Cricetulus griseus: one gene and its partners. The protein of the gene in region 1 interacts with the protein of each later gene in a pairwise test. Links are inferred from orthologs where the notes say so. Each region holds a gene or a part of one and is shown on either strand. Other genes may lie near its edges.

Region 1 (4,010 bases):
AGAACGAACTCAGGCGTGGTAGTGCACACCTTTAATCCCAGTGCTCAGGAGGCAGAGACAGGTGGATCTCTGTGAGTTCAGTCAGTCTAGTCTCCAAATAAGTTCTAGGCTAGCCAGGGCTACATAGGAAGACACTGTTGCAAGCAAGCAAGCAAGCAAGCAAACAAACAAAAAACCCCAAGCAACAACAGTAACAAAACACCTAAAATAAAGTTTTAAGGAGATCATACCTGAGAATTTTGAGGCAGGGAAGTGACAGGGTAAGTGGAAAGGGAGAATGGACTGCAAAGGACAGAAGCTACAGTGAAGACTCTGGCCTTAAAACCAGCCCCAGAGGCAGACTTTCCTTTCCTACCTGCCTGGGAGTCTGTCTGAGGGTCTTCGGGATCTCCAGCCGGGCCAGCCTCCTCAGGAAGCAATCTAGAGGGTAGGGATTGAACTGGGACTTACACACAACACCCAGCCAGGCCAGGTGTCCACCAGAATTGTTTTCTCTCTTCCCCCTCATGTAAAGATTGTGTGTGTGTGTGGACGTGTTTTGCCTGTATATTTATCTGTGTACCACGTGTACCACAGGGAGGGCAAAGGGCTCTCAGCCTTACCTGGGGAACTCTTCATCTTGCCATTCCTCCCTCAGTTCCAGCTCTTCAAGTCTCAGGGCTGCTCCTGGCTCTGTGACTCCTGCCTTCTCCCCAGCCCTGACATCAGCCCCCCCCCAGGAGAAATGATCATGAGACAACCTGGACAGTATCCTAAGGGAGCCAGACAGCAGGTGGCAGACACTGTCGTGAAGAACTTGTCGCAGAGGGCATTCGTCTATGTCTACAGATTTTCTACCTTCTCTACCTTTTCCACTTGACTGAAACAGCTCACCTGCTGCTGAGCTTAGCAAAGGGGAAGGGCCATCCCGTAACCGCTTTGCCTCTATGGTAGTGTAGAAGGCATCCCACATCACAGCTGGCTGGAACCCAGACCTGCCCAGTTAACCTTTTGCAAAGCAGCAGCAGATGGCACCCAGTCTGCCCTGCCTTTCTACTGCACTGGGAAAATATGGCACAGCAGGCAAGGACAGGGGAGAAAGGAGATTCACTGGGAAGCAGAACAGGGGTAGAAACTCCCTTCTGAGCCAGGTTTCCTAATGGCCATTCTAGAGGGTGGTGCTTAGATGAGAGAGAGAGAGAGAGAGAGAGAGAGAGAGAGTGGTGGTCTGTCAGATATAAGATAGGAACTTTAAACCATGGAATTGCTCCATACTATATTACTTTCCTGCCCCAAACCACCCTGTCCCTGAATTCCTTCTTGCCATGCTCTTCCTCGAGGAACCCAGGGAAGGCTTGGGTGGTAGGAAACGCCCTCTCTCCTCCTCATCAGGCCAAGCCATTACTTACCCTACTTCTAATGACTTTTTTCCTGTTTCTTGTATAGTTCCCATCCTCACCAGTCGTCCTGTGTTCTGTGAACACTTTACGAAGGGTAGGAGGCTGTGGTCCTGGCCCCCACCACTCCTTTTCTTTCTCAGCTGTTGTTCTTGCCTCTAAGGAGCAGGAGGTGTGGAAGGGAGGTAACCTCATCTTCAAACAGGTTTTGCTACCTCCCCTCCCAAGGAGCAGGTTTGCCCAAAAGCCCAGCCTCTTGTGTGGGGGCGGGCTTTCGGGTGTGAGAGTGAGACTTCTAGGGTGACGATTTGTTCTCCAGTTCAGATTCTTTATAACCTGGAAGCCCTTTGTTTTGCCCTTTTAAGGGGGGAAGGTTACAAGATAATTTTATGTGTGTGTGTGTGCGCGCGCGCGCTCGCATTCCTAGGGAAGCCTGAAGCTAACACTGGATATCTTCCTCAGAAAATCTGAGGCAGGGTATCTCCATTGAACCCAGAGCTCACTGATCTAGTTTTAGCTAGCCAGCTTAACTCCCTGAGAGCTAGGGTTATAGGTGGATGCCCCACCTGCTCAGCCTTTGTGTGTTCTGGGGATCCAAACTTGGGTCTTCTTGCTCAAGTAAGTGCCTGTCCATTAAGGCAGCCCCCTTTATTTTTCAGTGTCTTACATTTTAGACCAGTTTGATGTGGAATGTGTGGGTGATCTTTCCCTCTTAGTGTGTTTGTGAGTCTATGAGTGGGTGTGTGCACCCTGGAATGTGCAGGGGAGGGCAGCCTCCTCTATCACTGCCTGTTTCTTTGAGACAATGTCTCTCTCTAAACCTGGATCCCAGCTTTTGCATTGTTGGTTAGGCTGGAATCCAACAGCAATTTTCTTGTGTCTCTCTTGAAGCTGGGGGTACAGGCCTTTGTAGACTTGCCCATGGTGCTGCGATCTGAACTCTAGGCTTCAGGATTGAGAAGCACTTTCAACAGGGTTTCTCTGTGTAGCCCTGGCTGTCCTGGAACTCACTCTGTAAACCAGACTGGCCTCAAACTCACAGAGATCCACCTGCCTCTGTCTTCTGAGTGCTGGGATTAAAGGAGTGTGCTACCACTGCCCAGTTTGACAAGAAAGCACTTGTAACTGCTGAGCCATCTCTCAGCAGTTTGGAAGCTTTTGGAAGCTTAAAAAATGTTTTGTTTTTAAATTCTATGTGTATGAGGGTATTGCCTGCATATATGTCTATGCACCAAGTGTGTACCTGGTGCTCTTGGAAGATAGAAAAGGGTTAGATTTCTTGGGACTAGAGTTACAGATAGTTGTGAGCCCTGTAGGTTCTGGAAATACACCTGGGTCCTCTAGAAGAGCAGCCAGTGCTCTTAATCACCAAGCCATCTCTCCAGCCTTTAAAATGTATCCCTCCCCCCCCAAAAAAAACAGGGTTTCCTCTGTGTGTAGTTCTGGCTGTCCTGGAACTCATGCTGTAGACCAGGCTGGCCTTGTACTCACAGAGATCTACCTGCCTCTGCCACCCAAGTGCTGAGATTCAAGGCATGCGCCACTACTGCCCAGCCAAAATGTACTTTTTTAAATTATAGTTTATTTTTGAGTGTGTGTGTATGATATCTTGTGAGAATCAGTACTCTCATCCCACCATGTGATCAACTTCAGTTGGTCATCTTGGTACTAGGTGCCTTTGTCCACATCATCTTGCAATCCAATAACTAGCTTTAAAAAGCTGATCCTGGTGAGGGCATGGAATTTCAGCTACTCAAGAGGCTGAAGCAGGACTACAAGTTCAAAGCCAGTCTGGGTAACTTACTGAGACTCTGTCTCAAAATAAAAAGTTAAAAATGGTCAGTGGTGGCCAGGCGCTGGGAGGCAGAGGCAGGCGGATCTTTGTGAATTTGAGACCAGCTTGGTCTACAAGAGCTAGTTCCAGGACAGCCTCCAAAGCCACAGAGAAACCCCTGTCTCGAAAAACCAAAAAAAAAACAAAAAAAAAAACAAAAACAAACAAACAAACAAACAAAAAAGATCAGTGGTAGAACACCTGCCCAGTAGCATGAGGCCCTAGTTCAATCACCAGAACCATACACACATACAGGCAAAGCTGGGAACTATTTTGGTTTTAAATTCATGTTGGTCCTACTTTTCCAGCATAAGGGAAACAGAGGAGACAAGTAAGGCATCTCACATCTGCAATTCCAACATGGGAGAGGCTTCTGCAGGAACATTAGAGGCTAGCTTCAGCTACTTGACAAGCAAGGGCAGTCTGGGAGACTGTCTCAAAAAAAAGAAGACAGTGGTGGTGCATGCTTTTAATCTCAGCACTGGGAAGGCCCAAGGCAGGTAGATCCCTGAGTTTGATGCCAGCCTGGTCTACAAAGCTAGTTCAAGGACAGCCAGGGATACACAGAGAAACCCTGTCTGAAAAAAGCAACAAAAAACCAACCTGAGACCACAACTGAATATTTTAAGGAAAGCTCTGGGAACAGGAATCAAGGAGAGATGAAGGATGAACAGAGACAGCTTATAGCTGAGTCAACTAAGCAGGAACGGGAGAAAGGGAGAGGTGTCTGTAGGAGGTGCAGCCATTATCAGAGGGAAGGCCCGACTATACTGTCAAAAAGAGACAAGACCTCAAACAGG
Region 2 (2,738 bases), about 200 Mb from region 1:
AAAGAGTATGAAGAATGCATAGCTAAGCAATCCTAGTCAGGGCGCAGTCCTCCTAGCTGCATTGTCTCAGCTCCAGTCCCTTCTGCAGGGTGGTCTGACAAGCTTCCAGAGCTGTGTGAAATCTCTTCCAGGGAGACAAGTTCCTCCTTTGGCTGCACCTGCCTTCAGTCTTTCTTTTCCCCCAGCCTGAGACTCCTGAGGAAATTCCATTTCCTTGGGAACCATTGTTTCAATAGTCTGGTAGCCAAACGGAGGGACACAAGTGTCTCTTTAGAATATCTTCATTTCTGCCAGAACCGTTATAGAACCTCATATAAACCTTGAAGTCACAAGACAAAACTGTCATTGCCCACACAGCATCCTTTTGACTGGTTGGATTTTTTTTTTTTTTTTTTTTTTTTTTTTTTTTTTAAAGGCAAGCTAGGAAAACACATGGAGACCCAAGATCCCAGTGACATTTCCTGGGCACCTGCCAGATGTCTGGCTTGTTCATGAGAAAGCTATACAAAGTCTACCAAGGGCTTTAATGAGGGTAATTGCTGGGACCTAATTTGAGCAGCACTTCCCTGAGGGCTGACAGTTGCCCAGTTTAGGATTATACCTTAAGGAGGAGCAGAACTGGTACCTTTGGCTCAAAACCAGTTCCTTGTGCCTCCCCTGGAGATCTCCAAGCATCCCCACTTGGTTGGAACAGCAAGGATGCAGGCAAGTAACTGGACGGTGACTCCTTTATGCCTCCTTCCCCATCTACAAGGAAGGACCTACATGAGCAGGATCATAGGTCGTGTGGACACACGTCCTGGGAGGCCCAGGACACACAAAGTCTTAGTTGAAAGTGGCTGTGTTGAAGGTGGCACTGAGCCAGTGGACCGACGTCTGACTGTTGGTACAAAACAGTAAGGAATGGGGCTCGGCCAATTTCACTAGCTTAGAGGAAGTTCCTAAGGCAAGTATTGTTCTTTCTCCAAGCACAAACCATCACGCTTTTGGTTCATTATTTGGAGTTAAATAGAGTCGGTCGGTTCTGGCCCATTGGCAGGCCAGATAAGGCCAACATGACTACCTACAGCACCGATCAAGGGCTGAAGTTTCCTCAGAAACAGAAATTTCTCAGACCTGAACCTGCTCCCGGTGTACCGTTAATCTGCAGCGTCTACCTGAAATGCCTCCACAAACTTAATCCTAGAGTCAAGTCCTTGCTACCTAATTTACTAAATGATACATTCTTCGTTTCTATCCGAGAAAACAAAGAGCAGAAGCACACCAAGCGTAGCAGAAGCACAGTCACGTCCCCGCTTTAGGACGTACCCTGACGCAGGCGGAGGCGGGACGAGGGGAGGAGCCGCAGCCGGTTTGGGGCGGTGCTGAACTAGGTCACGTAGCTCAGGTCCCTGGCTTGGGCCACATCCCGCGTCGCACTGTCCTCTACTCCCCGCTTGCAGTCCCCTCCGCCACCATGCCGATGTTCACCGTGAACACCAACGTTCCCCGCGCCTCCGTGCCAGAGGGGCTTCTCTCCGAGCTCACCCAGCAGCTGGCGCAGGCCACCGGCAAGCCGGCCCAGGTTTGCAGGGAGGGTACAGGAAGAGAGAGAGTGGGGAGGGAGGGCCCGTGCGCCCGGCCGCCGGGCAGAGGAAGAATGGGGATGGGAACCGCGGCGGGCGGCTGGAGGGCTGGAGGCTGGAGCTCCCCGGAGCCCTGTGGCCCCGTGGTCTTTCAGGCGGGCTAACCGCGCGTCCACCCCTCCCCCGCAGTACATCGCAGTGCACGTGGTCCCGGACCAGCTCATGACTTTTAGCGGCTCTAGCGACCCCTGCGCCCTGTGCAGCCTGCATAGTATCGGCAAGATCGGCGGCGCGCAGAACCGCACCTACAGCAAGCTGCTGTGCGGCCTGCTGGCTGATCGCCTGCACATCAGCCCGGACCGGTGCGTGGGGGTGGGGTGGGGTGAGGGGCGCTGGGAGGTGGGCGCGGGGGTCAGAGGGCGCCGCCACGCTCGCCGAGACCGCGTGTTAGGCTGAGCTAGGCTTTCATTCTCGCAGGATCTACATCAATTATTACGACATGAGCGCGGCCAACGTGGGCTGGAACGGCTCCACCTTCGCTTGAGTGCCGGCCTAACTTACCTGCGCCGCCGTTTCTTGGAGCCTTGCTGCACGCAGCGTTCTGTTTTCGTCCACCCCTGGCGACGCCCACCTTCCGATCGGGAGAAATAAATGGTTTAGAGACCACGGTTGCCTCAGTTTCTGCTTCCTTGGCTTGCGGAGGAATTGGTGCAGGGCGGGGACATTGAATGGAAGCCCAGGCTGCGATGGTGGGTCGGAGTTGGCCAGTTTGGCTGTCTCAAAACCAGTGGTCTAGATGTCCTTTCGTCCAGGCTTTCCTATAGTGGCCTTACGTCAAAAAGAGGTTCACTGGGGCCTCAGACCAACAGTCATACAGAACTTCCCAAGCAGTTGTTGCATCCTGAAATAGGTTCTCTGCTCTGGGCGGGAATCCCGAACTGTGTTCTTAATCACAGTGGCAAATGGGACGGCAATGTGCTTTCATGGGAGAGTGAGTTGCTCAGGCAGGAGAAGGGTGGGGATTAAATTGATAGACTCTTTGCCTGTGTTCTTCTCAGGCAAACAGCCCCCGACTCCCCAGTAGTTCCTAGAGAATGCATGAGAATGGAGTACTTTGTCTGTTTTCATGTTTGTTAGGGTAGAAAGGTCCAATGTGATTTACATCTCTTGGGG
Region 3 (4,307 bases), on another chromosome or scaffold:
CAACTGTCAGTAACTCCAGTTCCAGGGGATCTGACATCACACAGACATACATGCAGGTAAAACACCAGTGCACATAAGAATAAATAAAAAGCTGGGCAGTGGTGATCACACTTTTGTTTTTTGAGACAGGGTCTCTGGGTAGCTCTGACTGTCCTGGAACTCACACTGTAGACCAGGCTGGTCTTGAACTCACGGAGATCTGCTTCTGCACACCTTTAATCCCAGCCCTCGGGAGGGAAGCAGAGGCAGGAGAATCTATTGAGTTTGAGATCAGCCTGGCCTATAGAGCGAATTCCAGAACAGCCAAGGCTACACAGAGAAACTCTGTCAAAAATATCACTCTAACAAAAATAGAAGAAATCTTGCAAAGTAGAAATGGGATCAGGCCAAGACAGTTTTGTCCCAAATTGCCCAACGTCTCCCACTGCTTTTAGAACAAATCCCAATTTCTAGCATGGTTGGTGGGCCATTGCCCAGCTCTGGATCCTGGCCTCCTACCTTCCCAGAGTCCTGCCCCCAGTGGCCTTTGGTGCTTCTGCAAAATGCGATAGCCTGAGCTGATTTCTCATTTTATGGGGCCTGTGCTTAAGGGTCTCCAATTTAGGAGCGCTATATTCCCACACCCTATACCCAGCTTTCATCAGTTTGTAAATAAAATTTATTTCTGTGACTGGGTTTTCCCCATCTTCACTACTGGTCAAAGGCTAAAGAGGCTAGGGAAGGAAGCTTGTTCCTTGTTCTGTTCAGTGCCGGAAACAGCGCTTGGAGCAGAGTACCACTGTACAAATATTTGCAGAATGAATAAATGAACACATGGAAGAGGGAAAAGAATTCTTCCTGTGATGGCCCAGGCTTCTAAGTCACGTACTAGAAGAGGTGGCAGCTACGTAACAGAATTCCAAGTTAGTCCAAGTTACATGACTTTGTCTCAAAAAAAAAAAAAAGGAATTCTTGAGGCTGAAATAGGCATAATAACCTCCCCCCGCCAATGTTATAGGACGCGTCCCAGGCCTCTCCCAAAGTTGCGGGGCCCAGTAACTAGGGCAAAAGTCGACCCAGGCCATTGGCGCTGCCTGCTCTGTGAGGCCACGCCCCGCCGCGCGTTGCCAAGCACCCAGAAGCGTGTAGGTGGGCGCGTTGTACGCCAGAAAGGCCCCAACCTTGGCCGCTAGCGGGTAAAGGTCTGAACCGAGCGATGGGGGCGACGAGAGAAGCATCTCAGACCTCGTCTCAGCCCGACCTCCCAGCGGGGCCGCAGCGCACCTTCCACAACTCACTACACTGCGGGAGGAAACCCGAGCTCCCCCATGCACCACGCACGCCCGGCCCGCGGCGGACAACCAGAGCCCGAGCCGCATCCCCCTATGCCGCCTCGGCCCGTGCCTCCCGCTCCGGCTCCTCCGGCGCCGGGGCCTCCGACTCCGCCGAGACCCGGGCCGCCGCCTCGACCCCCAGCCCCGCCCCGCCGCCAGGCTCCGCCTCCTTCCCCAGCGTGAGCTCGGCCCCCGGCCGCCTTTCCCGCTCCAGCCGCCGCGCGCTGGCAGTGGCGTGCGCGCTCGCCCTGCCGGCCTTCTGGAGGCCCTCTTGGCCCCGCCGTCTGTACGCCGGCAAGATGGCGGCGCCCAGCGAGCCCGAGGGCGCCTCTCGCAGCAGTCTCTTTTCCTTCCTGCCCGGCGGCGCGCGCTCTGAGATGACAGACGACTTGGTGACTGACGCGCGGGGCCGCCGCACCGGGCATAGGGACGCCGCGGCCTCTGCCTCAGCCCCGGGGCCGCAAGGTTTGCAGCACGGGAAGCCGCCGTGCCGAGCCTGCGTGGACTTCAAGTCGTGGATGCGGACCCAGCAGAAGGTGCAGATACCCCGCCTGACCGCCCAGTCCCGGTCCCCCGCCCCACACCGGGTTTCCTCAGGGTTGGCTATGCCTAAACATGTCCACCCCCTCACCCACACACACCCCTAGGGTCGGACTTTGAGCCTTCAGCCACTGGCTGGCCGATCAGTTTACTAGGCTGCCAACTGTAAAGGGGAGCATTCTTGTTTCCTTTATTCTTTTGGTGATACTGGGAATCCGAACCCAAGGCCTCTGGCGTGCAACACAAGCAATCTGCCACTGGGTTGGAATTTTGTGGGCTTCTGGTTGGGGAAGAATGAACTGACCCGTAGTCGGCCTACTTCTGCAGCGGGACATCAAGTTTAGGGAGGACTGTCCGCAGGATCGGGAGGAATTGGGTCGCCACACCTGGGCTTTTCTCCACACGTTGGCCGCCTATTACCCGGACATGCCCACCCCAGAACAACAGCGAGATATGGCCCAGTTCATACATATATTTTCCAAGTTTTACCCCTGCAAGGAGTGTGCGGAAGACATAAGGAAGAGGTAAGTGTGCCTTACCTCTGCCAGTAAGGCCCTGAAAGGGGCCTGGCGGATGCCATAGAGAGGGGACTAGAAAAATAGATGCAGAGGTGACAGGTTGCTAGAAGAGGGACCACTCAAACGAATGTTGGGTCATGGGAGCCCTCTCCTTCCTCCTCAGAGCCTAGGTCTGTGAATTGTTAGCCTTAGAATTTTTAGGAAGATTAGCTAAGATTCCATGTTGCTTAACTTCTCTAATCTCTCGGTGTGGTTACCGATTTTAAAAATGGGAATGAAAGTCTGGCGTTAGTGGCCCATGCCTTTAATCCCAGCACTCTGGAGGCAGAGACAGGTGGATCTCTGTGAGTTCGAGGCCAGCCTGGTCTAGCCAACACTCACACACACACACACACACACACACACACACAAAAAAAAAAAAAAAAAAAAAAAACTTGGTTCACTCATTGGCTTAACTTAATCTGTTCTTTATAGGTATTTCTAGGTTGGACCTATTAGGCACTTGCACTTGCTATTTGAAGCCTGGGTAGTTAGGAATGAAGGGTATCTCTTGCTGAACTAGGCCTCTGGTGCCAAGAAACACTGTGCCAGGCCCCACCTGTCTATACTCTGCCTGGGGCTAGAGACCATGGGGTGAGGCTCCCTGATTGTTACAAGGTTGTAAAGTCGCCTGCTTTACTATAATCTTAATTCTGGGCTCTTGCCAAGTCAAGTGAGCGAGTGAGCAGCCCTGGGAGTTGCACAAGTCCAGGAAACTCCAGAGTCAACCCTGCTCTTGGCTTTCACATCCCCCTAGAGCATAGAGGCATCCCCAAGTTTAATTCAAAGCAGTGCCCCAGCTCTCTGTCCTGGGCCCTAGCAAGGACAAAGGAGTCAACATCTTATGTTCTTCCTGTGCTTCTGTCACAAAGGATAGGCAGGAACCAGCCAGACACAAGCACTCGAGTCTCCTTCAGCCAGTGGCTGTGCCGCCTGCACAATGAGGTGAATCGGAAGCTGGGCAAGCCTGATTTTGACTGTTCAAAGGTAGATGAGCGATGGCGTGACGGCTGGAAGGACGGCTCCTGTGACTAGAAGATTGTGAGCAGAGCATGTGGGACATCTAGCCAGGGTCCATGGGCAACCTGGCTGGAGGGACAGCCCGCTGATTAAAGTGCATCTGAGCCAAAGCTTGTTCCCGTGTTTGGAGAGGGGTCCCTAGGACACTGCCAATGGGAACCCTACCCACAGGGCTAAGAAGGGGAGGTGCCCAGGGACTAGAGATGAGAGAGGCTACCCTATACCCTTTATAATGCAGCCTCTTGCCCATTATACACTTGGGACATAGCTGCCCCGTAGGAAGATGGGGTGGACCATTGGCTTCCTACTGCATAACCAGGGGTGCCTACAGAACTGGCAGCTCTGTGCCATTTCAGAATTGAAGCATGGTACTGAGTTGTCTATTCTGTACTCTGTCCCCAGCTCTAGTAGGACTTTTTACTTAGGGTGTACCCACCATACTGCCCACTGCCTGTGGCACATGGTCTACAGCTATGACAACATGCCTGTCAGCAGATCCAGGATCAGATGATCCTGAACTTCTGAGAGTTTGAGACCAAAATAAAATGAAGTGACTTAGGGCCTGGTTTCTGTGTGCTTTGTACTGGGAATTACAGTGATGGACAGGCCTGCTTTTGCTTGTCTGTGATTAGTTGGGTCCTCTTGTCTGAAGTTCTGGCAGAAGTCACTATGGAGCAGCTGAGACAAGCTCTTCATGGTGAGAAAGAAGCTGAAGATGACAAGGGGGCTTCTGGATTCTGAGTGTACACCTTCTAGTTGCTGGGCTCTTCTGAATCTGCTCAGCTCCATCTGTCCTTGGGCTAGGCTCCCAACCAGAGCATCCCAGCAGCAGTGGGAGCCCCAGTTCTCAGCATAAAGATATCATTCTTTCCTGTGT

The links. The genes of interacting proteins can lie anywhere in the genome.
Region 2: the proteins of Bnipl (region 1) and Mif interact in a two-hybrid assay, tested with the Homo sapiens proteins (2 studies listed by BioGRID and IntAct). The link is inferred for Cricetulus griseus from reciprocal best matches to the Homo sapiens genes BNIPL and MIF.
Region 3: the proteins of Bnipl (region 1) and Gfer interact in a two-hybrid assay, tested with the Homo sapiens proteins (2 studies listed by BioGRID and IntAct). The link is inferred for Cricetulus griseus from reciprocal best matches to the Homo sapiens genes BNIPL and GFER.

What each region holds. Positions count from the first base shown.
Region 1 is NW_023276806.1:61,249,533-61,253,542, reverse strand, and holds the start of Bnipl (bcl-2/adenovirus E1B 19 kDa-interacting protein 2-like protein), read right to left. Parts: upstream 2,812-4,010; 5' UTR 1,433-2,811; coding exon of another isoform or gene 1,389-1,432; 5' UTR 953-1,388; coding exon 603-952; intron 421-602; coding exon 356-420; intron 1-355. UniProt on the Homo sapiens protein: May be a bridge molecule between BCL2 and ARHGAP1/CDC42 in promoting cell death.
Region 2 is NW_023276806.1:262,751,076-262,753,813, forward strand, and holds Mif (macrophage migration inhibitory factor), read left to right. Parts: upstream 1-1,353; 5' UTR 1,354-1,456; coding exon 1,457-1,564; intron 1,565-1,754; coding exon 1,755-1,927; intron 1,928-2,042; coding exon 2,043-2,109; 3' UTR 2,110-2,231; downstream 2,232-2,738.
Region 3 is NC_048600.1:44,284,489-44,288,795, reverse strand, and holds Gfer (FAD-linked sulfhydryl oxidase ALR), read left to right. Parts: upstream 1-1,500; 5' UTR 1,501-1,612; coding exon 1,613-1,849; intron 1,850-2,180; coding exon 2,181-2,377; intron 2,378-3,282; coding exon 3,283-3,445; 3' UTR 3,446-3,990; downstream 3,991-4,307. Other genes in the region: Noxo1 (NADPH oxidase organizer 1), read right to left, coding at 1,264-1,358.